Linked DNA regions of Cricetulus griseus. The protein of the gene in region 5 purifies or fractionates together with the protein of the main gene of each other region. This does not show direct contact. Links are inferred from orthologs where the notes say so. Each region holds a gene or a part of one and is shown on either strand. Other genes may lie near its edges.

The links.
Region 1: the proteins of Polr3b (region 5) and Polr2f purify together in Homo sapiens (affinity purification with mass spectrometry; 5 studies listed by BioGRID and IntAct, with this or other methods). This does not show direct contact. The link is inferred for Cricetulus griseus from reciprocal best matches to the Homo sapiens genes POLR3B and POLR2F.
Region 2: the proteins of Polr3b (region 5) and Pfdn2 purify together in Homo sapiens (affinity purification with mass spectrometry; 3 studies listed by BioGRID and IntAct, with this or other methods). This does not show direct contact. The link is inferred for Cricetulus griseus from reciprocal best matches to the Homo sapiens genes POLR3B and PFDN2.
Region 3: the proteins of Polr3b (region 5) and protein POLR1D purify together in Homo sapiens (affinity purification with mass spectrometry; 6 studies listed by BioGRID and IntAct, with this or other methods). This does not show direct contact. The link is inferred for Cricetulus griseus from reciprocal best matches to the Homo sapiens genes POLR3B and POLR1D.
Region 4: the proteins of Polr3b (region 5) and Polr3g fractionate together in Homo sapiens (co-fractionation; 4 studies listed by BioGRID and IntAct, with this or other methods). This does not show direct contact. The link is inferred for Cricetulus griseus from reciprocal best matches to the Homo sapiens genes POLR3B and POLR3G.
Region 6: the proteins of Polr3b (region 5) and DNA-directed RNA polymerase III subunit RPC10 purify together in Homo sapiens (affinity purification with mass spectrometry; 6 studies listed by BioGRID and IntAct, with this or other methods). This does not show direct contact. The link is inferred for Cricetulus griseus from reciprocal best matches to the Homo sapiens genes POLR3B and POLR3K.
Region 7: the proteins of Polr3b (region 5) and Crcp purify together in Homo sapiens (affinity purification with mass spectrometry; 5 studies listed by BioGRID and IntAct, with this or other methods). This does not show direct contact. The link is inferred for Cricetulus griseus from reciprocal best matches to the Homo sapiens genes POLR3B and CRCP.

What each region holds. Positions count from the first base shown.
Region 1 is NC_048595.1:376,264,885-376,268,011, reverse strand, and holds part of Polr2f (DNA-directed RNA polymerases I, II, and III subunit RPABC2), read right to left. Parts: coding exon 3,093-3,127; exon of another isoform or gene 3,040-3,092; coding exon of another isoform or gene 2,983-3,039; intron 1,349-2,982; coding exon 1,218-1,348; intron 1-1,217. UniProt on the Homo sapiens protein: DNA-dependent RNA polymerase catalyzes the transcription of DNA into RNA using the four ribonucleoside triphosphates as substrates.
Region 2 is NC_048598.1:21,547,853-21,552,009, forward strand, and holds the start of Pfdn2 (prefoldin subunit 2), read right to left. Parts: upstream 2,801-4,157; 5' UTR 2,746-2,800; coding exon 2,671-2,745; intron 1-2,670. Other genes in the region: Nit1 (deaminated glutathione amidase), read left to right, coding at 3,241-3,242, 3,455-3,550, 3,921-4,157. UniProt on the Homo sapiens protein: Binds specifically to cytosolic chaperonin (c-CPN) and transfers target proteins to it. Binds to nascent polypeptide chain and promotes folding in an environment in which there are many competing pathways for nonnative proteins.
Region 3 is NC_048597.1:82,928,340-82,932,578, reverse strand, and holds the start of protein POLR1D, read right to left. Parts: upstream 2,801-4,239; 5' UTR 2,700-2,800; coding exon 2,674-2,699; intron 1,870-2,673; coding exon of another isoform or gene 1,494-1,869; exon of another isoform or gene 1,314-1,493; intron 1-1,313. Other genes in the region: Polr1d (DNA-directed RNA polymerases I and III subunit RPAC2), read right to left, coding at 1,494-1,869, 2,674-2,699.
Region 4 is NC_048595.1:302,148,360-302,151,859, reverse strand, and holds part of Polr3g (DNA-directed RNA polymerase III subunit RPC7), read left to right. Parts: intron 1-1,738; 5' UTR 1,739-1,771; coding exon 1,772-1,888; intron 1,889-2,355; coding exon 2,356-2,485; intron 2,486-3,500. UniProt on the Homo sapiens protein: DNA-dependent RNA polymerase catalyzes the transcription of DNA into RNA using the four ribonucleoside triphosphates as substrates.
Region 5 is NW_023276806.1:150,710,658-150,714,157, forward strand, and holds part of Polr3b (DNA-directed RNA polymerase III subunit RPC2), read right to left. Parts: intron 977-3,500; coding exon 847-976; 3' UTR 1-846. UniProt on the Homo sapiens protein: Catalytic core component of RNA polymerase III (Pol III), a DNA-dependent RNA polymerase which synthesizes small non-coding RNAs using the four ribonucleoside triphosphates as substrates.
Region 6 is NC_048599.1:60,488-64,422, forward strand, and holds the start of DNA-directed RNA polymerase III subunit RPC10, read right to left. Parts: upstream 2,801-3,935; 5' UTR 2,721-2,800; coding exon 2,610-2,720; intron 1,183-2,609; coding exon 1,095-1,182; intron 1-1,094. UniProt on the Homo sapiens protein: Core component of RNA polymerase III (Pol III) which synthesizes small non-coding RNAs using the four ribonucleoside triphosphates as substrates. Can mediate Pol I proofreading of the nascent RNA transcript.
Region 7 is NC_048597.1:109,299,771-109,303,910, reverse strand, and holds the start of Crcp (DNA-directed RNA polymerase III subunit RPC9), read right to left. Parts: upstream 2,801-4,140; 5' UTR 2,617-2,800; coding exon 2,609-2,616; intron 1-2,608. UniProt on the Homo sapiens protein: DNA-dependent RNA polymerase catalyzes the transcription of DNA into RNA using the four ribonucleoside triphosphates as substrates.

The DNA.
Region 1 (3,127 bases), on a different chromosome or scaffold from region 5:
GACAGGAGTAACTGAAAGGCATCTTTCATCAGTGCCCTATGGACGCGCAAAGTTCAAGTGTGGGCTTCAAGTGACTCTGGTGCTGCAGCTACCACCAATCAACAAGCATGTCAACCACCCAGTTAGCAAGTAGTGAGCGACATCATCCACCAGGTGGTGCTAGCAGGCCACACTGAACCCAATGGAAGCTATCCAACCATTTCAGCACTTAAGCAAAGACAGAAATCAGTCTGGCGGTCTGTGAACCATGGGCAGCAAGGGCACCACCAGAGGGCAGGGGATCCTGCAGAGTAAGGAGCACTAAAGCCTAGACTATGCTGGAGCTGTCTTCCTCACAAAGAAACATGACAGTTGGGTTGTCTTGGATTGAGGATTGTCTGGGCACTTCACACCCTATGAATGCTCCACACTGACTTATCAAATGTCAACATGAACCTATCCCTGTAGGGTCTACTGACATCTTTTACTATTTTTTTTTTTAATTATTTGTATTTGTGTGTATATGCTGGGGTATGTGCATAAAAGGAAGTGCCTATGGAGGCCAGAAGTATCAGACCCTCCTGGAGCTGAAGTGATTGATAGGCAGCTATGACTCGGTTCCTCTACAACAACAGTATGTGCTCTTAACTTCTCTCCAGCTTTTTTTGTTTTTGTTTTTCAAAATGGTTTCTCTGTAGCTTTGGAGCCTGTTCTGGAACTTACTCTGTTGGCCCCAAACTCACAGAGCTCTGCCTGCCTCTGTCTCCTGAGCACTGGGAGCACTCTGTCTCCGCTGCCCGGCTCTCTGCAGCACCCCCCCACACACACACACAGGGCTTCTCTGTGGATTTGGAGGCTGTCCTGGAACTAGCTCTTGTAGACCAGTCTGGTCTCGAACTCACAGAGATCCGCCTGCCTCTGCCTCCCAAGTGCTGGGACTAAAGGCCCACTGCCTGGCCTGTCTCAACCCATGGCCCAGGCAGGCCTTGAACCATGATCCTCCTGTTTCTGTGACCCGAGTATCTATGCCACCAGGCCTGACTAGGGTTCTTATTGTCACTTTTTTCCTGTGAGGTTATTTGGCTCCTCAGTTACTTTTCATGGCTTACTTTTTACATTACGCTACTGGCTCCCTAAGCCCAGCACAATGCCTGACACACAGGGACAGGGCATGATCAGCAGCCTGGGGCTTACTGTGGCCCAGCTGATGGAGAAGACAGCAGAGGGGCAACACTTACGCGATCTGGAGTGCCCGGGTGCCCAGTACACGGGCTCGCTCATACTTGGTCATGTAAGGAGTGGTGATGCGCTTCTGGTTGGCCTGTGGTCGTTCACCAGAGGGTAGAATCTCAACATTCTCCTGACCCTCCTGGATACCAAGAAAACAAAGACAGGAAATCTCAGGGCAAGTTTTGGGTCAGGGAGGAAGATGATGACAATGACACTCAGCACCAGTAACGATTTCTGGATGCCAAGGACTATACAGAGACTCACTAGTACCCCATTCCTTACCACCTGGTGAGGCAGGGATGATGGTCCCTATTCCAAGGGCTTCAAAAGCCAGCCAACCTGACCAAAGTCTCCAAGCTAGCAGTAAAGAGGACTGTGGTCAAGATTCTAGAGCCTAGGGGGCTGGAGAGATGGCTCAGAGGTTAAGATCACCGAATGCTCTTCCAGAGGTTCTGAGTTCAATTCCCAGCAACCACATGGTGGCTCACAACCATCTGTTATGAGATCTGGTGCCCTCTTCTGGTGTGCATATAGACATGGAAACAGAATGTTGTATACAAAATAAATAAATAAATAAAAATCTTTAAAAAAAAAAAAAAAAGATTCTAGAGCCTACTGTCCTGCCCAAATGAAGGCGGGCCCTATAAATGATGAGCACAAACACCAGATCTTTCACACAATGAAACTGAGTCAATGGGTCGAGTGACTAGAACAGTCAGGGTAAAGAGGAAGTCACACCATACTGAGCAATGACCTGCTACACATTACTCATCTGTTCAGGCTGTGACTGAGGACACATAAGGCCCTGGGTTCTGATAGTAGGGTCACGACCTAGAGAAAACAGGCACAGAGCAACAACTGCTGCCAGGAATGTGCACAGCCTATGCCCAGAGTTTACAGGATTCTGAAACCAAGAATAAAGGGCCTAAATTTAGGTCCTCAGTCTCCTTACAGTCTGGGTAGATAACAGTGTGTGCCTATAACCACAGAACTAGGAGGTAGCGACAGAAAGATTTCTGGGGCTTGCTGACCGACAGCCTAGCTGAAACAGTGAACCCAAGTTCAGAGAACGACAGGGGCTGACATCTAACAGCAACCTCTGCCCCTCCGTATGCACTACACAGCACACAGACACACATGTCCATATGCACAAAATTTCTCTTTGTTTATTTGAGACAGGGTTTCTCTGTGTAGCCTGAGCTGTCCTTGAACTCACAGAGATCTGCTTGCCCCTGCCTTCTGAGTGCTGCTGGGATTAAAGGTGTATGCCACCACTGCCCGGTACACACAAAATATATATATTTTTTTTTAAATAAAAACTGTCCAATGGTATTTTAAGTTTTTAGGATAGAGTAGTGAATAAAGAGATCAAAGCTATTTCTACCAGAACCCATGCCTTTAATTCCAGCACTCAGGCAGCAAAGGAAGGCTGATTTCTGTAAGCTAGAGGCCAGCCTGGTTTAAATACTGAGTTCCTGGGCTATACACTAAGAACAAGTCTTAAAAAACATACATAACAAGACTCAACAAGCCAGGCGGTGGCGGCACACACCTTTAATCCCAGTGCTTGGATGCCAGAGGCAGTTGGATCTCTGTGAGTTCAAGACACAAGAGCTAGTTCTAGGACAGGCTCCAAAACTATGCAGGGAAACCCTGTCTCGAAAAACAAAAACAAAAAAAAAAACAAATGAAAAGAAAAGAAAAAATAAATAAATAAGACACAACACTCTTAAGACCTAGTTGAGGTGACACTTAGGCAAAGGCGAAGTGTACCTGCAGGAGACACATCCCTGGAAAGGGAATGATGAAACCTTTGGCAAACATCACCATCTCACTGTCTAGCTTCCAGGTTGCAGTGCAGGAAGCTGAGGATGGCTACTAACCTCCTCTGCATTTTCCAAGTCATCTAGTCCTTCGT
Region 2 (4,157 bases), on a different chromosome or scaffold from region 5:
CCAACAAACCCATAGATGTGGAGCTGCCCAGCATTTTAGAGGCCCAATCCCTGCCCCAGGGTTTCCAAATGGCACATGGAGAAAAATTGTTATAGAATTGTAAGACAATGCCTGCTCTCTTGGAATCAGACTTAAGGCTTGTTTTACACACACACACACACACACACACACACACCCACCCACCCACCCACCCACCCCCACCTACCTTTCTGGCCTACTTCTCTCTTTGCCTGCCTCTGCATTACATGCTGGAAGGAGATGAGCTACTTTTCCCTGCACAAACGACCCTGGAATCTTGAGTTAGTACTGGAACAAATTAAGACTCTGGGGACTATTGGGGCAGAATAATCGTATTTTGCATTGTAAGGGCACAAGTTTTGGGACTAAGGGGTATAAAGCTATGTTTTAGTAGGGTTTGTCCTCTCCAAAACACACATTGAACTTTGACTGTCAAGTGACAGGGATTTTTCTTATCTTTTTGAGACAGAATCTCATGTAACCCACACTCAAATTTACTTTGAGTAGATGAACTTGAACTCCTAATTCTCTTGCCTCTACATCTCTCTCAAATACAGGGACTGGTCTACAGAGCTAGTTCCAGGACAGCCAGGGCTACACAAAGAAACTATGTCCTGAAACAAAATAACAAAAACAAACAAAAAAACTGTTTAGATTATGTGCATGTTTGTGTGTCTGTGTGATAGCATGTGCACTCAAGTGGAGTTGCCTTGGAGGCCAGAACAGGGCGTTGGATTCCCTTGAGCCAAGGTGATGGGGAATTGTGAGACAAGCAACATGGATGGGTGCTGGGAATCAAACTTGGGCCTCTGCAAAAGCCATCTCAAGGGGCCTTTACCAGCATTTATTTGTTTGTTTGTTTGTTTTCTTCAAAACAGGATTTCTCTGTATAGTCTTGGCTGTCCTGAAACTAAACTAGCTCTGCAGACCAAGCTGGCCTTGAACTCAAGAGATCCTCCTGCCTCTGCCTCCCAAGTGCTAAGACAAAATGGTGCACCACCATCACCAAGCCCATAAAATAATTTTTTTTAAAACTCTCATTGTTTTATTTGTCTTTCTGTCATGTTTGTTTTTACAACTGTTTCACTCTGTAGCCCAGGCTTAGCCTGGAATGGACATGGTAATCCAGCCGGATTACAGGTATGAGCCATCACACTCGGCTGTCTTGTATTTCTAGGGATCTTTGACCAAGTTGAAGATAAGGTCTGTTTCATTTACCAGTTTCTCTGTGTTCAGCAGAGCCTAACACAAGACAGACCCTCAATAAAAGTATTAGCCACTATATTGGAGGCTACCTCCAAATTTCAATGCATTTTACTTCTCTTAGAACACTTATTTTCTGCCTCGAAGTAGAATTATGAAAATCCCCCTTTTGTCCCAATAGATATGCTCTTTGATAGGGCAGGTTTTAAACTCTTTATTCGGCTACCTTTACCTGACTGTACTGAGTGTTCAACAATTAATTAACACCCTCCCATGTCCTACACTTCAGGGCTCTCCCATTTGGCCCACTAAGCTATATCCCTAGCCTCAATTCTTTTCATTTCAATTGTGTGGTTTTTTTTTCCTTCTACTATCGATTAAATACTAGTCCCACGATTAACAAGGCACGGTTCTCATACCACAAAGGGCTTTCTGATTAGTCAGACATATCCCGATGTATTGGGGTGGGGGCAAACTTAGATTAGAAAAGGGTTTCCGGTCTCTTCTAAAAAGTCAATCTCCACTCCGAGAACACAGTGAGCGAGTTCGAGGCCAACCTGGGCTACTTAGTGAGATCATGTCTCAAAAGACCAAACAATCCTGGCCCGGCTTAGTGACACAGGCTATTAATCTCAGAATTCGAGAGGCAGGAGCAGGGACAAGCGGATCTCTTGAGTTCCAGGCCAGCCTGGTCTACACTGTGTATTTCAGAAAAGTCAAGACTGCATAGAGCGACCCCGTCGCAACTTCCACCCCCGACCCCAAGGCCAACCAACCATCAAACAAACCAAACTAAACCACAAAGCCAATCTACTAAAGACTCCTTAGTTAAAATAGTTACAGAAGGCCGGGCGTTGGTGGCTCACACCTTTAATCCCAGCACTCGGGAGGCAGAGGCAGGCGGATCTCTGTGAGTTCGAGGCCAGACTGGTCTCCAGAGCGAGTGCCAGGATAGGCTCCAAAGCTACAGAGAAACCCTGTCCCGAAAAACCAGAAAAAAAATAGTTACAGAAGACTGAAGCGGTCGAGTCTGAGTCACGTGGTTTTGCAGCGCGTGGGCGATGGTGAGCGCGGTTTTAGAGTCACAGACTAAACAATTCCCCGACTAATAACCTCTGGGGTTCGTTACTAGATGCAACGCCGAAGCAGGCCCGCCTCCCAGTAGCTCGGAGACGGGGGAAACGACGACCCCATCACCTTGGGGCCCTGGACACCCTCCCAGCTCCCGCAGCTCAGGGCTTTCCCACTGGGCTCCCGCTGCAGCCTGCGGACGTGGCTCTCCTCTGCACACCCACCTCCGCATGCCCTAGCAGGGGTCGTGATCGCCTCCCTCCGCGAGTGCGACACGGAGAACGTGGAAAGGGCTGAGGGCCGGTACAAGCCACAGACCCCGTTTCCTGCACGAACTCGACACCGGCCGAGCTGCCCTCGGCGCTCGCGGATGCTCACCTGTTCGGCCGACACCGCCCCCTTCCCGGTGCTGCTCCCGCTGCTCTTGCTCACACGACCGCTGCTGTCCGCCATCTTCGCCACCTGCGAGCTTTCCGGCCTGCGCACTCCCACTGCGTCACATCCGGTCTGGTAGTTACCACCCACTTGCCCCTGCGCTTCTGGCTCCAGGAAGCTCCTCTGGTCGACCCTGCGAATGGTTTTGGCGGTGGCTTCATGTAGGACCTACTCCCCAACCCTGCCCGCTGCGGTGAATTCCACCTACGGTGCTTTAACTTGTGCAACAGAGATTCTTGCCCCAGGGAGAGGCGGGGAAGGGCGCGCTAATCAGAGGGCGGGGTCCAGGGTTGGGATCTGGTCCGGAGCCCCCTGCCCACCTCGAGATGGTGGCGATCTAGGGAGAGTGAACTTGCCTTTCGAGATACTGCTGTAAGGGGAGAGATACGCGTTGAGCCTATAAAGCTGTGCAGGTGGCACAGCCGAGAAGAGAGAATTGGGGAAGCGAGGAAGGTTCCATGAGATGACTTGAACCGCGGAAACGTTTGGCAGAGGAAAGGGGCTTCAGTTTTAATGTGAGATCACTGGAAGTTGAGGTATTGAGGCTCGGATCAGTCTCCTCTCCCATGTTTCCCTTTTACGACCTCTTTCCACAGCTAATCGTGTGGGGGGATGTTTTTGAAGCCTTGGGGGAGGGGATTACTGGCCAGGCCTGGAAATGACAGAGAATTCTAGAAACATACTACTTGAAGGAAGGTTAGGTGTCCTGATTTTTCACCCTCTTCAGGCTGGGCTTCATCACCAGGCCTCCTCGCCAACTCCTGTCCCTTTTGTGTACCGGAAACAGATTGCCTCGAATCTCGGTACTTTGTACTCAGCCCAGGTAACATATTTTCTTGTTCTCTGCCTGGCACATTGCCGCTCAATCCGTGTTTATAACTGCAGTGTGGGGAGACAAAGTTGTCTGCCACCCACCAAACATTTAATAAGTGAACACCAGTAGCTCTGGGGTTATTATGCTCTGAAAGAATGGAAAGAAGTCACTAGGGATGGTGGGACACACCTGTAATCTCAGCACTTGGGAAGCAGGCAGCAGTTTAAGGTCATCCTCAGCTACATAACAAGACCTGGCTGGGCTACAAAACACCCTGTCTCAAAAAAGAAAAACATCTAGGTCTGTGGCCCCATCCCACTTGAGCCTCTGGGTTTCTCCGTGCTAGCAAATCTGAGAACACTGCCCGTGCTATTCACAGGCCCAGAGCTATGGAGGTGTCCTCCTCAACTTCCTGGGAGCTGCCCCTGGTGGCTGTGTGCCAGGTAACATCAACACCAAACAAGCAAGAGAACTTTAAAACATGTGCTGAGCTGGTTCTAGAGGCGGCCAGACTGGGTGCTTGCCTGGCTTTTCTGCCTGAGGCATTTGACTTCATTGCACGAAATCCTGCCGAGACATTACAGCTGTCTGAACCACTGGATGGGGACCTTCTGGG
Region 3 (4,239 bases), on a different chromosome or scaffold from region 5:
TGGGCTCTATTTACATACCTACCTAAGGAATGAAGATGTTACCTGATAAGTCATTTTTTTCCATTAAAATTGGGGCCAGGGAAACAACTCAGGTGGTAAAAAACTTGCTGTGAAAACACAAGGATGGAGTTCAGTCTCTAGAACCCATATAAAAGAGTTGGGTAGGATGATGTGTAGGTCTGTAATCCCCGGTGCTCAGGAGACAGACACAGGTGGGGCCCCTAGGGCTTTCTAGTCAGGTAGCCTAGTTAATTAACAAACTCCCTTCATCCCAGCATGTGGGAGATTATTAAGGCAGGGGCAAGTAAATCTTTGAGTTTACAAAGTGAGTTCCAAGCCAGCCAGATTGTCTCAAAACAAACAATAAGTAGGTGGTTCCTGATGAACCAACCATCCTTAAGGCTGATCTCTGGCCTCCATATGCATACAAGTGTCCACACGAACATGCCCACACAAAACAATAAAAAAGTATTCGGTTTACTCATCATAATTCTATATTTCATGAGTGCTCTGGAACTCAAGCAGTAAACTGGTTATCTATCCTACAAATACTACAAAGATGGACCTTGATGCCAATTCAAATTCTCATGAAGAAAGCAACAACAAAAAATTCTCATGAAAAGTTAAAATTCTCAAGAGTCCTTCTAATTATCCTCATCCTTACTAGGTCTACCAATCATATGAAAGGATGCATTTACATTAATAAAAATCCAGGGCTGGCAAGATGGCTCAGTGGGTAAAGATGCTTGCCACCAAGCCTGACAAACTCTAAATGGATCCCATATGATGGAGAGAATCAACTCCCACAAGTTGTCCCCCGACTTCCACCTGTGTCATGGCATGCTGGTACACACACACACACAAAGTAAATGGTTAAAAAAAAACTCAAGTCCCTCTGCCAATCTTTTCCTGCCTTTTTAAATACAGTCTACGGTTTATGTTTTATTCCATCTCCCCTTCCTCAGCACTCCAATCATACAGAAATGAATAGCCCTTTTAATATCCATGATCAAGCCGGGCATTGGTGGCGCACGCCTTTAATCCCAGCACTCAGGAGGCAGAGGCAGGCGGATCTCTGTGAGTTCGAGGCCAGCCTGGTCTCCAGAGGGAGTGCCAGGATAGGCTCCAAAGCTACACAGAGAAACCCTGTCTCGAAAAAAACAAAAACAAAACAGACAAACAAACAAACAAAAATCCATGATCAAAACCCTCAAATTGGCCCAATTATCCGTTCACTTTCTGTGTTGGTCCAAGTAAGGGGTGGCACCATCCTTGGGGATCACCTAGGTACAAGGAAGAGAAACCACTCAAACTAGTTTAAACAAAAGAGAGAATTTATTAGGCAAATATACTTGCAGAGATTCCAACAGCTGTAATGGGTCAACAGCTGGAACCACACCTTCCTATAAGACAGAACATGCTTCAATCACAAACTCTAGCTTTGGGATCTGCACCATCATGAGGGTGATCCTCCTTGTACCCTGCACGAGGGACTAGAAAGTGGGTTCATTTCTGCTTGCCTTTTGATCCTTATAATCCTTTATGCTGGCCTCAAACTTGTCAAGCACATGTTGGCAGACATTCATGAGCTCATTCAGGCCTTTCTGAAACGGTTCAACAGCTGGAAGGGTACCCCGTGTCTGAATTCGCAAATTAATTTTGCTCTCTGAAGGATGGGTCGTAGTGTAACCACAAAATTCCACTTCCGGGTTCTTCATGATCATGTACCGAAGAGAATTTCCTAGGGTATGGTCCTCCTCGTGCAGTACAAATGTCACACACTGTCTATCTGTTCCAGCTGCCTGGACCATTTCCAAGGCTGTCTTCCTCTCGCCTTCGGCCATTGAGGTCTTCAATCCTGACATTTTTCTACACACATATTTTTTTGTAAGAATGAGATCATATGGGATACCATTTTGTGATTAAGCTTTTTAAGATTCACCACCTCAGTTTCCTGCCTCCGATACTTCTATACATAAATATTTAACTCGAGTTTCTCTCTACTCCATTTGATATATTGCCCACAAGGGGAGTCATCTCAGAAAATAAACACAAATGTTTGCAAAATCTTTCTTTGAATAGAGAAAAAGAAAGGGGCAGAGTTATAATAGGGTAGGCCCTGCTGAAAGATGAAATGGGAGTTGACAGGCATAAAAAACACGATTACTTTAGCATAAAAATGGCAACCACAAGTTATTAAGGTGGCAGGCTCAGTTATGGCTTCCCTTTGAAAGAGGTAAGGAAACTAGTAAGTCAAAGGAAGTGAAAAGTTTAATAGGAGGAAGAATTTGGCGGTCAGAAAGAATTTACGAGCAGTCTGCAGAGCGGAGTTGCAGTAACTTTAGCCGACTTAACATGCCAGCACCGCCCGGTGCGTGACCTTACACGAGGCAGTTCTAATGGGGATGGCAGTTTGGCACTTAGAGCTGGATTCCCAACTTCTCTCCCCTCCAGGATGGCTAGTGTCCCTCTGAGCTTTTCTGTATAAACAAACCCACCACCGCTTCTCCTCCCTCTTCCCAACCCGCTCGGCTCTACTCTCGATCTTCCCTTGCCCAGCGCCTCGGGTCAGGCCTAGCCGCCCCGCCGGGCCGCAGTCGGCCGCGTGCCCGGTCGCTACCCGCTTCGCTGGCCCGGCCCGCCGCCCCCTCCACTCTTCCCCTCCAACCTTACCTCTCCAGCTCCTGATCCTCTTCCATCGCGAGGGGCGGCTCCAGGAAATCCTCAGGTGGTGCTGCCGAAAAGGACGCTCTTCCCCATATCGCGAAAGATGCGGGCGAAGCAGGAAGGAAGAAACCACCGACGGAAGAAGCGGATGACGGAAGGAGGGGGGCGGAGCCGCAGCGGCGCGGCAGGACCCGATGGAGGGGCGGGGCGAAAACAGAACACGCCCCAGCCACGCCCCGTGCGGGCCGGACCGCTCACCTGGAACTGCGGAAGCTAGGAGGCTACGGTGCAAGCAGTCCCTCGCCTGTCGCCCCCAGACACTGCTGTTTAGGGTCGGAGTTGAACCTCTCATCTGCTAGACCCACCAGGGACGGTACTGCCCCGGGACTGTCTTCCCCCCCCCGGACTGGAGTCCTTTGGAGCCTTTCGTAGGGCACCTTGCAACCTTGAAAAAGCAGAGAGACTTGTGTGCAGAGATGACTCTTCTGACCATACTGAGGTTTACAGGGAGCATTTTTCTCCCTGGGGTGCAAATGCACATCTCCATCAGGTGCAAGGCAGCGTTTGTCTTTCTTTTCGGAGAGAAGTATGAGTTTGGAGCACCGCCCTCCTTCCCCAGGAGCTCGGGTTTACCCACTGTGGACCTGCGGTTCCTTTCCCCTTTGATCCCAAGGAGCCGCCCTTCTCTTCCCCTCAGGTGCATCCTCCCAGTTCCCACCTGACCCTGGCCAGGCTGGGTCCCCGCCCCACCCCAGCTGTCCTCTAGCGCACACCTACACGTCAGCCACCCCGCACCACCTGTTCTCCCTCAGCCTGGTCCCGCAGCCCTCCCCTCCCTTCAGCTGTCCCACGGCCGGCGCGGCGCTCCGGGGTGCAAGCAGACACTTCCCGAGCGTCTTCTCTGTGTGTGTCTGAGAGAATCCGGCCGGGAGCGATGGCGGAGGGCGGAGCGTGCTCACTCTAACTCGGGAGTGATGAGCAGGGCCGGTCTGGCCCCTCGAGCTCCTTGATTGGCCGAAAGACTCAGAGCCCGCTCTTAGTCCCGCCTTTCTCCGCCGCTGATTGGCTCAGGTGCGTGTCGGGTTGGGCCCCTGCGCTCGCCCCCGAGGGGAAAGGCAGCAGGGGCGGTTGAGAAGTGAAGTCTTGGCCGGACTTTGCTTCTCGCCAGGAAATCGGCGGCGGTGAGTCCCGGCGGAGTGGAGCCGGGCGGCGTCCTCGTCAGCGCTCCTGCGAGGAGCCCGCCGCTTTCCCTGAGTGAGTTACTTCGCCTCAGGTGCGGGCGGTGACAGGGTGTGGCGCTGGGGTAAGGGGAACCGCCGGGGGCCGCGTGGAGTCCGGCCCGGCCCGGTGCGGGTGCGGGTTCCCGGCGCCGCGCTGCGGGTCTGCGCGACGCTCGCTTTTTAAAACGGGGAGCTCTGGGGACGAGTTCTTGCACTTCGCGTCTGCACGTTGTCGGGAGCTAAAGCAGCGCTAGCTGGCTGCCCTCTGGTTTTGTTCCCTGGAAGAGATGAGCAGAGATCCTTCTCCCCGCCCCAGCCTGTTGCGGGAGAATTCTCACCTTTCCCTTCAGGC
Region 4 (3,500 bases), on a different chromosome or scaffold from region 5:
CTGCATTGTGTGGTGAGAAGGCCTGCATGATGCCAAGTGTGCATGTTTTTTCCTTCAGTAATAAGGCTGCAGTGATACCAGGTGAGGGTTCATTACATATTACATTTTTAATAAATTTTTGGTTTTATTGCCAAATTTTTTGGATAACCACAGTCCTATAACCCCATACAGGGCCACAACCCACAGTTAAAGAAGCAAGACTTCGCATGCTAGTGGTATATGTCTGTAACCTCAGAGAGGAAAGTAGGTCACTGGGGCTTACTGACCAGCCAGTCTTAAGCTCTAGGTTCGGTGAGAAATCTTGTCTCAAATAAGGTGGAGAAGCAATTAAATGAGATGTTCAAAGGTGATGTTAACCTCCTCCTCCACACATGTCTGCATAGGAGAACACACCCCTCCTACACACATGCGTACACTCACACATTTCTTCTCTTCCTCCTCCTCCTCCTTCTAGCTGAGATCCTGTTATCAAACCATAGAGAGATAGAGGGAATCCTGGCAGTTAGCTGAGTGTTTCAGACACCATCTCAATGTCCTGAAGACCTGAGTGAAGGAGTTGTGTCCTTTAGTCTTCATCTCTACATAGAGATGGCATATGAACTGTTCAGCCATCTTGATCACTTGCTCCTATATACATTTCTTTTTAATTAAAAAATTTTCATACAATATATTCCAATGACACTTTCCCCCTCCTCCAGCTCCTACTAGATCCTCTCCATGCATCCAACTCTGTGCCCCCCTCTCTCCCTCTCTCTCCCTCTCCCTCTCCCTCTCTCCCTCTCTCTCTCTCTCTCTCTCTCTCTCTCTCTCTCTCTCTCTCTCTCTCTCTCTCTTTCTCTCTCTTTCTCTCTCTCTCGTGCATGTGTGCGCGTGCAAGAGAGGCTTTTACTATGTACAGCTGTCTTGGAACTCTGTAAACCAGGCTGACTGGAACTCACAGAGATCTGCCTGACTCTGCCTCCCAAGTGCTGTGATTAAAGACATGCACGACCACCACCCTAGCTGTCTTTCCCCCTCTCTCTCTTTCTTTACAAAACCAAATCAAACAAGCAAAAACAAGAAACACACACAAAAGACCTTTCACAAAAGTGGAAGCCAAATATACAAGTAGAAGACCAGCAAAACAAAACTTCACAGAGCAGTATGAAACAAAAATTCTAAAAAAAAAAAAAAAAATTACTGGTGAGTTCATTCTGTGTTGTCTAACTACTCCTGGGTATGGAGCCTACCCAGAAATGTTAATATTCCCAGTGAGACTCCATTCGAGAAAACTAATTTTCCTTTGCAAGCATGTATCAAATGCATTGTGTCAAGGGCTTCTTGGTTAAGGGTGCAGGCTGTATCTACTTGGTTTCTTTGTTACCGGAGGAAGCATGTGTCTACTTCCCCCTTTCAGTGCTGGGACCCTGTCTCATTTGAACCTGTGCAGGCCCTGTGTGAACTGTTACAGTCTCAGTGAGTTCATATTTGCATCAGTCCTGTTGTGCCTGGAAGAAATGCTTTCCTGGGAGTCCTCCATCCTGGTAGGCTCTTCTACTGCCTACTCTTCTGCGTAGATCCCTGCACCCGGTTCAAAAGTATTTTAAATCAACCATTCAAAAGTATTTTAAAACAACCAGGCTATATAAGGGCTAGAGTGTTACCTTTTGCTTTCAAATGTAACATTAAATGTAAAACTAATGCTTTTTTTCCTTTGCATAGAATTCAGTAAATCTTACCATTTAACTCTGTCTTTCAGGGTTTGTTCACACCTCTGCTATAATTGGTTCTGATGGCTGGTAATAAAGGAAGAGGACGTGCTGCCTATACCTTTAATATTGAGGCTGTTGGCTTCAGCAGAGGGGAAAAGTTGCCTGATGTTGTGTTGAAGCCACCACCACTGTTTCCTGTAAGTGAATTGACAGTTCAGTTTTCACAATGGATTTTTGCATGTTTTTAGGGGTTTAGGGCTTAAATACATGGTTCTATCATGATATCCTAGCTTCCTTTTCATAGCACCTGTGTCCTATTAGGCTTTTTGCTCTTCATATTTTACCTTTAATACTCAATATAGTTTGAAAACAAGTATCTCAGGTATAGGCATAGTATCTGAGTATAGTGACTACCTTCAAAATAAGGCCACCAGCTGTGAGAGTAGCTCTAAACAGTGGGAAAGTAAGCATATAGCATCACTTTTTTTTTTTTAATAAAAGTAATTTATTAGCTAGAAGGCTGTTCCTGCCCTGGCCTTCCTCATGTTGCCAGCATTTCCTCATCACTGTCTTTCAGTAAGAGCAACATTGTCTCACATGTGGATAAGAGAAATACTAAAATTCTTAGTTTATTTAAATAGGCGTTGTCTTTTAATTTAAACAGGATACAGATTACAAACCAGTGCCCCTGAAAACAGGAGAAGATGAGGATTACATGCTGGCCTTGAAGCAAGAGCTGAGAGAAACAGTGAAACGAATGCCTTATTTTATTGAAACACCTGCAGAAAAACAAGGTATGTATTAGGCACTTTATGAGGTAATTTGGTTTTAATAGAGAAAACAGTTTGTACAACCAACTTGAAAAAAAATTACTTATCAGAAATCAAAAAGGGCAAACATTTACATTTTATTGTATGTTTTTCTTCCACGAGTTTTCTCGCTGCAAACTTACTCATACTTTGTGTCTTTCCCTTACAATGCAATAATATACTGCCTTTTAAAACATTCTTAGAAGTCTTAGAAAATACAATCTAATAGTTATGTTAATCTATTATGTGGATAAAACACTAATTATCACTAATTCCTACTGATAGAATGAAGTGTTTTTCCCATTTATTTTGTTTGTTTAGCTATGCAATGCTGTGAATATTACCACTGTACATAACTTTTTAAGGATGCCTCTGATTATTGACAGTTTAGACTAAAAAACTTTAAAAGTCTTGCTTTTAAATATAAGTTTATTGCTTATGTTCCGATGACGTAAAATATAAAATGTGTTTATTCTTGATGCTTAGGGCAGAGAGGAGGAATAACACTTTCAGAAGGCTCAGCATCTCAGACAGAGAAAAGGGAAGTGGTTTTAGAGGAAGTGAGCCTGCTCATGAATAGTTCTTAAGCACAATAAAAACGTATTGATTGTTAGAGAGATCAATATCATCTTTTGAGTTCTTAGAACAACATCATTAAAACATGAGAAATTTGTATAGCATCAGCTCATGCCATTAGTATTAAAGCTGTTTTTTTTTTTTTTCTTTGTTTCTTTCTAAGAGACTTGCATTGGCTGAGTCAAAAAAGGAAGTATATAGATGATAGTGTTACATGTCTTCATAAGAAGCATGTTGGACAAGTTTAATCTCAATGACTTATGTGCTTGAGTGTATAGAATGGTTTGATCAATTTTCCTTCAGAAATAAAGGATTTTTTTAATTTTTATTTTCTTGATTTTGTTGCATGCTTTTGTCTGGATTTAAACATAAAATCAAATTTTATATGTTTCAGAAATCAACTAATAAATACTCATTTTTATTT
Region 5 (3,500 bases):
CTGCTGGCCCTCCCACGCCATACAGAGCCCTTGTGTTACCTGCTGCCCTTTGGGTGTCAGTTTACTTTTTCCAACAAATCTAACCATTCTTTGTATGTGTGTGGAGGCCAGGGATGGACACTGGGGGGGGGGTCTTCCTCACTGTCCACTTGAGACAGGGTCTCTCCCTGAACTGAAGTGCAGTCACTGGCTACACCATTGCTCAGTAAGCTCGGCATCTGCCTGTCTGCCCCTACCCCACCTCCACACTATCAGATCTGTACATGGGTACTAGATGCTATGTCCAGGGTCGTGTCCAGCTCTGATGTGGGTTGCTGGGGATGAACTCGGGTCCTTGTGTTTCTGCAATAGGTTCTTTACCGACAGAAGTAACACCATAGTCCCAGTTCAAATGATTCTTTATGTCTTCCATGTCTGATGAGAAACCAGAGTTCTGTTAACCAGAAGATGTCATGGGGAGTTTTAAGAAGGAAGGTTTTTCTATTCAGTATATTTTAAAATATAATAACATAAATAAACTCATACTGGTAAATCCAGTACTTGTGAAAGAAGGAGGCAGGAGGATTGAGGTGAGTTCAAATCCTGCGTGGGCTACAGAGTGAGATTCTCACTCAAAGCAAAAGAAAATTAACAGGAGTTCATAATCACTTTAGCTTGTGTGTCCCTGTGACTCAGCATGATACTGTAGTCTGTGGGGCCAGCATCTCCTGTGGCTCGAAGCTCTTGGTCAAGTTTGTTCAGCCAGCATTTCAAAACTCAGAAGGCTGCTCTTCCTCATCTCAGTTTCTCGTGAGTCCTCTGCTTTTGGCTGTACAGGGTGCTGGCCCTCAGTGACCCTACTCATCCTTACTCGTTGTACTTGGCCAGTTTCAACCTGGGGATAATGTTCATGGACTGCAACTCCTGGAAGAGCAGCTTGCAGGCATATGGGATGCGGAGGGAGGACACATGGCACGATGACTTGCAGTAGTGGCACCTGAAACCCAAGGCAACACTGGTCAGAGGGGTGGCAACAAAGGCCTGCACACAGTACTGCTACGTTCCTCTCCCCAAGCTGTCTATCACTGTCAGACATGTACTGATGGCTCAGAAAGTTAAAAGGAACATCTGTGGACACAAAATCAAGAATGATACAAACCATTCCCTGCAGTTTAAAAGTATGCAACTTTAGTCCGTTAACTCTCTTCAAAAGGGAAAACATTTGCTTAACACTGTTTTGAAAGAACCCCAGAAACTGGAACCATCAGGAACTGAGTGAGATATCTCACCGTTGGAAGTTTTCAGCCGATGCCACCAGCCACATAGTGTTTGGGGGCATCTCTACCATTTGTTCATTGAAACACACTCACCAGAAAAAAATTCAGTTCCTACCACCGAGGCATGTAAGGTCTGATGGAAAAGAAGCCTTTTAAATAGGATAGCAGCAGTGGCCTCAGGACAGGTCTAACAGTCAGTATTTATAGTAAGCCGTCCCCTGCAAAAACCTGAGAAATGTATGTATGTACACACATGCAAATATTCCCACTTGACCGTTACAATAGCCTGTGTCCCAACCAAAAACTAGTGACACCATGACAGATTCTTTGCCCTCTTCTGGATTCAGCCCTCATCTATGACGATGGAAGGTCCCTTGGGGAGGACGTGAATTATCCACCCAGGTTTTGCAGTAGAAGATGACTCAGAAGAGTGTCTACAGTGAGGCTATGAACAAGACCACAGAGCTGGAGCCTCCTCAGAAGTCCACTGGGCGGCTGGTTCACATTCTAGGCCATTTATACAGAAGAGGTTATAGTCATGCAACATAATGGCACAGACTCAGTCACTGCAATGGGAGCTAACACCCAGGGTCTCAAACAATCAACAGTTTGAAAAAACTTCTGAAAATGCAATAGTAAAGCCAGGACTGGAGAGATGGCTAAATGGTTAAGAACACTGGTTGCTATTCCAGAGGACATGAGTTTGAGTGCCACAGAATCTGATGTCCTCTTCTGGGCTCCACAGGCATCAGGTGAACACATATGCAGGCAACAAATCCATACACATTAAAAGGAGAAAGAGAAAAAACCAGGGGCAGGTGAGATGGCTCAGTGGGTGCTTCACCTAGTCTAATGAGTTTGATCCCTTGGTCCCACATGATGAAAAGAGAACAAAGACCAGATAATTGTCTGCTGACCTCTATAAGGTCCTATGGCATCTGCATGTTAATACATATATACAAAAATTATGAATAAATGTAAAAAAATGTGTATCTTTGGGTAGATATGGTGGTACATTCCTACAATCCTATAAGTTCAACACCCAGGATACAGAGGCAAGAGGATCGTTAAGTTCAAATCCAGCCTAGGCTGCATGAGGTCTTCTCTTCTTTTTGGATCTTTTTCTAGTATCAGAATCTTGAAAAGTTTATGAATTAAAAAGTAAGTAAAAATCAAAGAGTAAGAACAATCAGCCATGTTTCAAGAACACCATCACTCAATTATGGCCAGCAGTCATCTCTGGGAGGTGGGGATGTCTGTGCCTCCCACTTTTAACTTTGAGCAAGGGCTATTTGTACAACCAGCAAAATGCAGCTGCTTGCTTTCATGCACGAGTGTGTGTGTGTGTGTGTGTGTGTGTGTGTGTGTGTGTGTGTGTTATTTAATTCTACGTTTATTTGACGGTCTTGCTACAGAACCTTGGTGTGTCCTTAAACCTCCTATGAAGACCAGGCTGTGATTCCCTTGCCAACTACTGGTGCTGAGTAAGTGTGAGACATCACAGACTTTCTCCTTTTAAATTTTAGAAAAGCAGAGCCAGTACCCAGGATGAGAATTTACATGGTGACAATGACCTGAGGGACAGAACTCCCTGGGGGTGTTGGGTGGGGATGCATCATTACTGATGTTGACAGCAGAGACACATTAATGATGAAAACTTCAGCGATATAAAATTTCTTAAAAGACTGCCCAAAGATTTCTCTAAAGCATTAGAATCAAGCATGTTTTTAATGTGCCTGGTGGTTTTAAATTATTCAGGAATCACTCTCATACCACTTTAATTAAATTGAGGAAACAGACTGAACTGGAGTAACTTCTTCCTGTTTTTCCTGTCCTATATATTATGACTCCAATTTCAGTTAATCAAGTTAAAATTTCCATATTGTTGATTCATAGTCTGTATAACCAATTAATCTTAATATATTCATTCAAAATATCCCAATGTCGTGTGTGTGTGTGTGTGTGTGTGTGTGTGTGTGTGTGTGTGTGTGTGTGTGTGTGTGTGTGCGCGCGCGCACATATATATACATAAGCTAATTTACTCTATGGCTGAATAACTTGCACAGGTAGATACCTGACCAAGAACAATAAGGTAAACTGATCCCTAGGATTAAGGCAGCAAGAGGAAGCTGTGGCTGCACATGAGGAGCATTCGAAGTGTAGCATCTTTCATGAGCTAATTACCTTAATGGGGCTCTTTGGTGACTTCTGTCCTGGGTCCTCTGAGAAACAAGAGTCTTGCTG
Region 6 (3,935 bases), on a different chromosome or scaffold from region 5:
CTACACAGCAAGATTCTATCTCAAAAATAAGCAAAAGCCTTGAAAGTGGAAAATGAGTAGAGGCTTTTGTTTTATTTTGAGATAGGGGATGGAATGAGGAGATGGGGGGGGGAATGAAGGACAGGATGGAGAGGGAATTGGGATTGGTATGTAAAATAAGATTTTTTTATTGTTTTTAATTTAATAAACATTTTTAAAAATAAAAAAAGACTAGGGCTAATCATTTTTACAATATTGGTATTTGAAAATACATACAACAGAATTCTCTTGAGAAGCCTGTACCCACTAGAGCATGGACAACTGTCCTTTTACACCTCTCGCCTCCTCTCAACAACCATCAATATTTAAGTTTAAATCAACATTGAAACTTTTTTGTAATAAACCCCAAATTTGTTTCAAGAAGAGAATATGTACCAGATTTTTACTTATACTTGCCCATATCTGTCCTGAGAATCTAAATGAAACAACAGAGCAGGTATCAATATGGTGATTTTCCTTTCAGTATATTTAATCCTTGAAAGAAATCTGCTTTAAAAAAATTTAATATGGCCAGGTGGTGGTGCACATGCCTTTAAACCTATCACATGGCAGGCAGGCAAATGGATCTCTGAGTTCGAGGCCAGCATGGTCTACAGAGAGAGTTCCAGGACACCCAGGGCTACACAGAGAAACCCTGTCTCAAAACACAAAATCAAACAAACAAAAAGGTCTTAATGCCTTGCTTAGAGTTTAAAGAATGACTATATTGTGACTACAACATATCAAAATATTTCCTGTATTGGCAAACACAAGCTATTTGTCATTATTGTTTATATTTTCTTAAATTCTTTTATAACTACTGGTTGAGGGGGTGGGAGTTGGTAAACAACTTTTCATGAATCAGCTGTCTCCTTATACTATCTGGGCTCCAAGTATCAAACTCAGGTTAACAGGTTTGGAAACAAGTGCTTTTACCTGCTGAGCCATCTTACTGGTCCTAACAATATACAGGGTTGCATTATAATAAATAACAATAAATTTATTATTATTAAGTATAATAATAAGTAATAATAAATAGGGTTGAGTCACTGGCTCTGTAATGGGAAAATTCTCACCTGCAGTAGAGTCCACATTCTCCCAGGCAGCTGCTCCACCAAGCACATCATCCACTTCTTTCAGCTTTGGATACTTTCGGTTTGTTACCTAACAAAAACAAGTCATCAGATTTTAAGAAATCATATAGTTTTAAAAGCAGGCCACCAAACTATAACTTTCCTCCAGCATTTCCTCTACTCAGTAAATGGATACAAAATTTATCTTCTTCAAAGAGCGACAAGAGCCATTAAAATGTAGGGGTTTTGTGACTGAGATATTCCCAAAACAGCACAGTTTCAATGTCAGAGACCCCTAGAAACTGGAGGAAACAGCAGACAGTGCAGGAAGACAGCTGAGTTAAACCATGCTCTTCTCTCATACCCCTAATAACCCAACATGAAAGACAGACAAAAGCCTAATAGCACCATTTATCTGGGTATCCCAGCATTCCCAGGGACACATTTCGTTGCTTTAGTCATCCTTCAATTTTCAAAAATTATGTCACCATTCAATCTTATCACATATCCAGACTCCAAACTCCTACCATACAGCTCTTAAGTGCAAACATTAAAAATGAGGTATCACCAAGGCCTGATGATACACATCTGAAATCACAGAACTCAGGACACTGAGTTAAGGAGGAACAAGAATGGAAAGGTAGACAATACAAAGGGCTGTAAAAGCAGCTTCTCTGGGTTCCAACACAAGCACCACACACACAAAGCAGCAACAATGACATATATTAGAAGACGATGAATCCTGGGAAAAGAAAAAGGAATGAGAATAAACTGGAAGAGCTGGGTTTGGTTTCTTCGTTTACTTAATTTTCATATACATATGCTATGCAGCCCAGGTGAGCCTTGAACTTAATCTCCTGCCACAGCCTCTCCACGTGATGGAATTATAGGCATGTACCAACAGCCAAAAGGGAGAGGGAGAGGGAGAGAGATAAAGGAAAAGGAAGAGAGAAACAGACAGACATACCCACACCGAGGGAGGGAGGGAGGGAGGAGAGAGAGAGAGAGAGAGAGAGAGAGAGAGAGAGAGAGAGAGAGAGAGAGAGAGAGAGAGAGCGCCAAATGGCTCGTTGGGAAAGAAAACTCGGGCGAAAGGAACGTGAAGGAGCTAACAGTACTGCGTGCACTTTTGGAGGTAAGATCCTCCAGAATAGCGACAGGATCTGGGAGCAAGAAGAGCCACAAAAAGAACATTAAGATTTGAGATCAGAGAAGGTGATAAGCGTATTGGAGCCTGGCGTGCGGAGGACAGCTGTAGGTTTTAAAGGCGTGGTTCAGCCTAGAGGTAAAACGGAAATCTCGCAACCTTTTGGGTGTCACAAAACCGGCAGCAGAGAGCCAGAGGCAGAAATCTCTGAAGTGACCAGAAGAGTGGCTTCGATTTGGCCGGAGCGATGCCACTGGATTACCAACTACTGAACTTGAGGTACTTCCACAGGTGAGCAAAAAAAAAAACTACCGCCCGCAGGAAGTCTGAGCGCACCGACAGTGGAGGAGGCGCTCGCCTCTGGGACTCACCTTGCGTGTGATATTATGCACGTAGGGGCAAGTGTTGCAGGCGAAACGATGGCAACGCTGTCCCTCCTCCACAATTAGTCCGTTTCCACAGCTCGGACAGAAAAGCAACATTGCTGCAGATCCAACAAGTAAGCTCTTACTGTCTAAAGCTTCCGCGGCCGCAGACGCCCAATAGAAGCGGCCACTGGCACGTACCCAGAAGGCACTGCGGCAGGCAGCTCTCACATGCCATTGGTCAACGCAGATAGTCCTTCCCACCCTCCAATAGTGCGCTGTCTGCCTTCCCAGCTTTCCTGTAATGCCTGCGCGTGCGCACGGATCTCCCTGACGCAAGCACAGGCTTAAATGGCCCGAGAGATGGGGCTGGCAGCTGACACGCCTGACCTACCCGGGAATAAGGTTCGGAGGGAGGTACAGGTGATGAGAAGACAGTGCCGCACTCCGAGCCATGGACGTGTTCAGGAAGGTCTTGTCACAGTGGCGCAGGACCGGCTGCTTCGCATCTTCTGAGCCGGGACTGACAGGCAGAGACTAACCTAATGTCCCAGGGACTTTAATTCAGCCCCTAGTGTTGATACTACCTCTCTGCTGCTGTCTGCCTAACGTATGAATACCTGTCTATCTGTACTTACCATCTTTCCAATCTGACCATTTCTTCACCTGGTCCCAGTTCTGCCATTTCACTTATTTCACTTATGCCATTTCACTAGATTCAATTCTACAGATCAACTCTGACCTACAATACCAGCAGTTCCTCTCCACAGACCTCCATCTGGTTCTTTTGTCTCATTCCTATAGACTCCTTTACGTTTCCCAGTTCTGCCTTCTCAGACCTCTTTTAAATGTCTTACCTCCTTAATCCTCTGCAAGAATTCTATAACCTACACAGGGAGGGGTTGGGGTGACTCCTGTGGGTTTTTTGTTTTTGTTTTGTTTTATTAACTTTAACAAGTTAGTTATCTAGAAGAGGAATCCCAATTGGGAAAATGTCTCTATCAGACTTATAAGTAGGTAACTCAATGGGGCATTTTCTTGAATGCAAATTGATAGAAGTGGACGCAGCCCGTTGTGGGCGGTGCCACCACTAAGCCGAAGGTCATGCGTGAAATAGGAAAGCACTACGAAGGGGCTAAATGGTTCAGCTTAAGAGCACTTGGCCTTCTCCTGTAATTGGTGACTGCGCTAATTGTCACCAGAGAGCATTCATCCAGTAACTGATGGAAGCAGATGCAGAGATCCACAGTCAGGGAGGAGGAATTGTACGAGTAAGAGGGAGTCAAGATCGTAACTTGGGGAACCCAGAAACAGCTGACCTGAGATAGTGGG
Region 7 (4,140 bases), on a different chromosome or scaffold from region 5:
CTGTACATATTCACTGTGTTCCCTTTTAAAAGGGCCCTGCCTACCTCCCATCCTTTCTCTCTTTCTTTCCCTCCCTCTCTGTCTGTTTCCCCCTCCCCCATTCTTCTCTCTCTCCCTCTTTCCTTTTTATCCCTTTCCTTTCTCCTCTCAACTGCTGCCCCTGTCTCGGAAGCCAATCTCCTCCTTCCCTTTCCCCTATAAAAAACCCCTCTGCTTGAACCCTGTGCATGGCATCTTTCTCTCGTGCACCGCTTTTCTTAAATTACAACACTCCTAAGACGAATAAAACCCTGGCCCCATCCCCAGCACTGCATAAACAGGGTATGGTGTAATACACCAGTAAACTCAGCAATGGCAAAGTAAAAGCAGGAGGATCAGAAGCTCAAGGCCACCCTTGAATGGGTAGTAAGTTCAAGGTTAAGCTAAGCCTTGGGTACATGAGACCCTACTACAAGGGGTGGGGGGTGCTGGAAAACAAGAAAAGGACTGTCTGATGACTGGTAGGGAATATGCTAGATTTTGTTTTAAACAATTTGACAGAAAATGAGGGACAAAAAAAGAAAAAAAGAAACATTTTGAGGAACCACCATCATATAAATGAATGTATACCAAGAATGGGAACAGAAAGTGTCCCAAGAAGATGAAGCACTAAGATGCTCAATAACATTGAGACCAGCAAGGGAAGAGGAGTAACAAAAGAACTCCCAGCAGTAGGATGGAGAGGGAAATTCAGGGCCATGTCAGAGAGCTGAGCATTGCCAGGGTGTCTGACAATAGCTACTCAGATGGAGAAAGCTGAACCAGACAGCCTGAGCTACACAGTGAGACCCCCCCCATACAAATACTAATCTGATGTGGCAGCTTGAGAGGTGGAGACATAGAACTTAAGATCATCCTCTGCTGAATACCAAGATCAAAGCCTGTCTGAGCTACTTATGACTCTGTATTAAAAAGTCTGACAAACTGTAGTATATATTACAAGTGAACAGAAGGTAAAGAACAATGAATGATAACACAATTTAGAGCTGGGCGTCGGTGGCACACACCTTTAATCCCAGCACTGGGGGGGGGGGAGGCAGAGGCAGACGGATCTCTGTGAGTTCGAGGCCAGCCTGGTCTCCAGAGCGAGTGCCAGGATAGGCTCCAAAGATACACAGAGAAACCCTGTCTCAAACCACCCCCACAAAAAAAAAAAAAACCCCACAATTTAGGTATGTCATCCAGGGATATATAAAGTCCACAGGTAGAATAGATGCAAAAACTTACATTTGCACATCAAAAAAGAAAAAAAAAAACAAAAAAAAAGAAGAAAAAAAACAGTATGGAGAAAAAACTGTCAAGATGGCTTTGCTGGTGGGAGAGTAACTGCCTAGAATGCTCAGGATGCTACCATTCCAAACACCACTATATGATGATGGGCACGTGGCTTAGTGCTAAAGCACTTGCCTAGCACCCTAGTGTCCATCCCCAGCACCACAAAACAATTAACAGTACACTGGAAGGCAGAGGCAGGCGGATCTCTGTGGTCTACAAGAGCTAGTTCCAGGACAGCCTCCAAAGCCACAGAGAAACCCTGTCTCAAGAGAAAAACAAAGAAAAGAAGAGAAAAGAAAAGAAAAGAAAATGAGGAGTTGTTGTTGTTGTAAAAAGCCAGAGAGTGGGCTGGAGAGATGGCTCAATGGTTAAGAGCACTGACTTTTTCCAGAGGTCCTGAGTTCAATTCCCAGCAACCACATGGTGGCTCACAACCATCCCTTATGAGATCTGGTGCGCTGATATACATGGAAGCAGAATGTTGTATACATAATAAATAAAATAAAATCTTAAAAAAAAAAAAAAAGCCTGAGAGTAAACCGATAGCAGAATTTTTGAACGGGTTCTGTTCAGGTTTCTGCCTTGAGTTCCTGCCCTGACTTCCCTCAATGATGAACTGTGTCCTGAAGTGTAAGATGTAATAAATAAACCCTGTCAGGCGGTAGTCGTGCACGCCTTTAATCCCAGCACTCAGGGAGGCAAAGGCAGATGGATCTCTGAGAGTTCGAAGCTAGCCTGGTCTACAGAGCGAGTGCCAAGACAGCCAGAGATACACAGAGAAACCCTGTCTCCAAAAAACCAAAAGATGTAATAAACTTCTACCCCGAAGTTCCTTGTTTGGTCATGGTGTTTTTCACACAACAGAAAGGAAACTAGCACACCTTTGTATGTTCACAGCCCTGGGTATCAGTATCACAAATAACGACGGTGGTAACGGCTAGGGTTGCAGCCTTTGCCTGGCATGTGAGAAGCCCTGGGTACCAACTCCAGCATTACAAAATGATGATGATGGGGGGGGGGGCAGACGACTGCGGAGCGCGTGCAAGGTCTTGAGTTTCATACCCAGAACCAGGAGGAAAAACAAACAAGCAAACAAAACTCATTGCTCCTACACTCCCCTCCCTCAAAGAACGTGGGTTGCGGGACCAGCAGGATCCCTCCCCAGCCGCCCCACCTCCAGATACTTCCGGCCCGTCCACTCCGCCCTCCCGCCCTGGTAGCGGGTGCGGAGGGTCGACCACCAGCCGTCTCCGGCCCCCAGATGAGTCGGGTTGCCCTCGGACATGCGGCTTACACTTCCATGTCGCAGCCGCTTCGTCCTGCGCAGCCGCTGGAAGGGAACGGCCTCCCGTCGTGCCACCGCCGCGGAGCTCTCGGCCTGCGTGTGCGCCGCAAGCCACTCTGGGACGCCGTGTTGCATGCCGGGATCGCTGTAGGGAACGCCGGGCTCCTTGCGTCGTACGGATTTCGAATTTCAGCCTCTGGAGGCAAAATTTAAACTTTTTTATGGTCTAGGTTTTGTTAGGGTTTTAATAAGATAAGGTTCCTGTCTTGGACGCTTTAAAAATCTCCAAGCCAGTCAGTTCGCAGCTGATATCTCAGCACTAGAGAGATTGAAGCAGGGGGATTGCCACGAGTTCCTGGCTAGCCTGTGCTACAGAGTGGGTTTCAAGCTATCTTGGGCTATTGCAGACCACTGTGTAAAAAAACAAAAAACAGGGCTGGAGAGATGGCTCAGAGGTTAAGAGCACCTTTGGCTGCTCTTCCAAAGGTCCTGAGTTCAATTCCCAGCAACCACATGGTGGCCCACAACCATCCGTTATGAGATCTGGTGCCCTCTTCTGATGTGCAGATATATATGGAAGCAGAATGTTGTATACATAATAAATAAATAAAATCTTGTTTAAAAAAAACGCACAGGCACACACACACATACCAATCAACCAACCAAAACCCCCAGAAGCCAGCCAGGCATGGTGGCGCACGCCTCTAATTCCAGCAAGGGAAAAAAGGGAAGGTAGAGGCTAGCACATTTTTGTGAGACAACCTAGGCCACACAAGAAACAGAGAGAAAGGGAGAGGGAGGGAGAGAGAAAGAGAGACACCTGGAGAGATGGCATAGCAGTTAAGAGTACTTCCATTTCTAGCAAAGGATCAGGAATTGATTCCCAGCACCAACGTGGTGGCTCACAACAACCTGTAACTCCAATTCCAGAGGATCCAAGGCCTTTTATATAGCCCCCGCCAGGCACACATGTGAAGTATATACATACACACAGACACTCACAGATACACATAAAATAAATCTTTGGCTGGGTGCTGGTGGCACATGCCTTAAATCCCAGCACTCAGGAGGCAGAGGCAGGTGGATCACTGTGAGTTCGAGGCCGGCCTGGTCTACAGAGCGAGTACCAGGATAGGCTCCAAAGCTACACAGAGAAACCTTGTCTCGAAAAACCAAAAAAATAAAATAAAACTTTGAAAAAAGAAGAAAGGGGGTTGGTGGCGCATGCCTTTAATCCCAGCACTCAGGAGGCAGAGGCAGGTGGATCTCTGTGAGTTCGAAGCCAGCCTGATCTCCAGAGGGAGTGCCAGGATAGGCTCCAAAGCTACACAGAGAAACCCTGTCTTGAAAAACCAAAAAGAAAAAAAAAAAAAGAAAGAAAGAAAGAAAAGAAAAAAGGTTGGACCTGCTGGCCCATATCTGCTATAATCCCAGCATTTGGGAGTTGGAGGCAAGAGGATTAGGGATTCAAGATCATCCTCCCAACAGCAAGTTCAAGGCCAGACTAGGATATAGTTTTGTTTTGTTTTTTGATCCGCCTG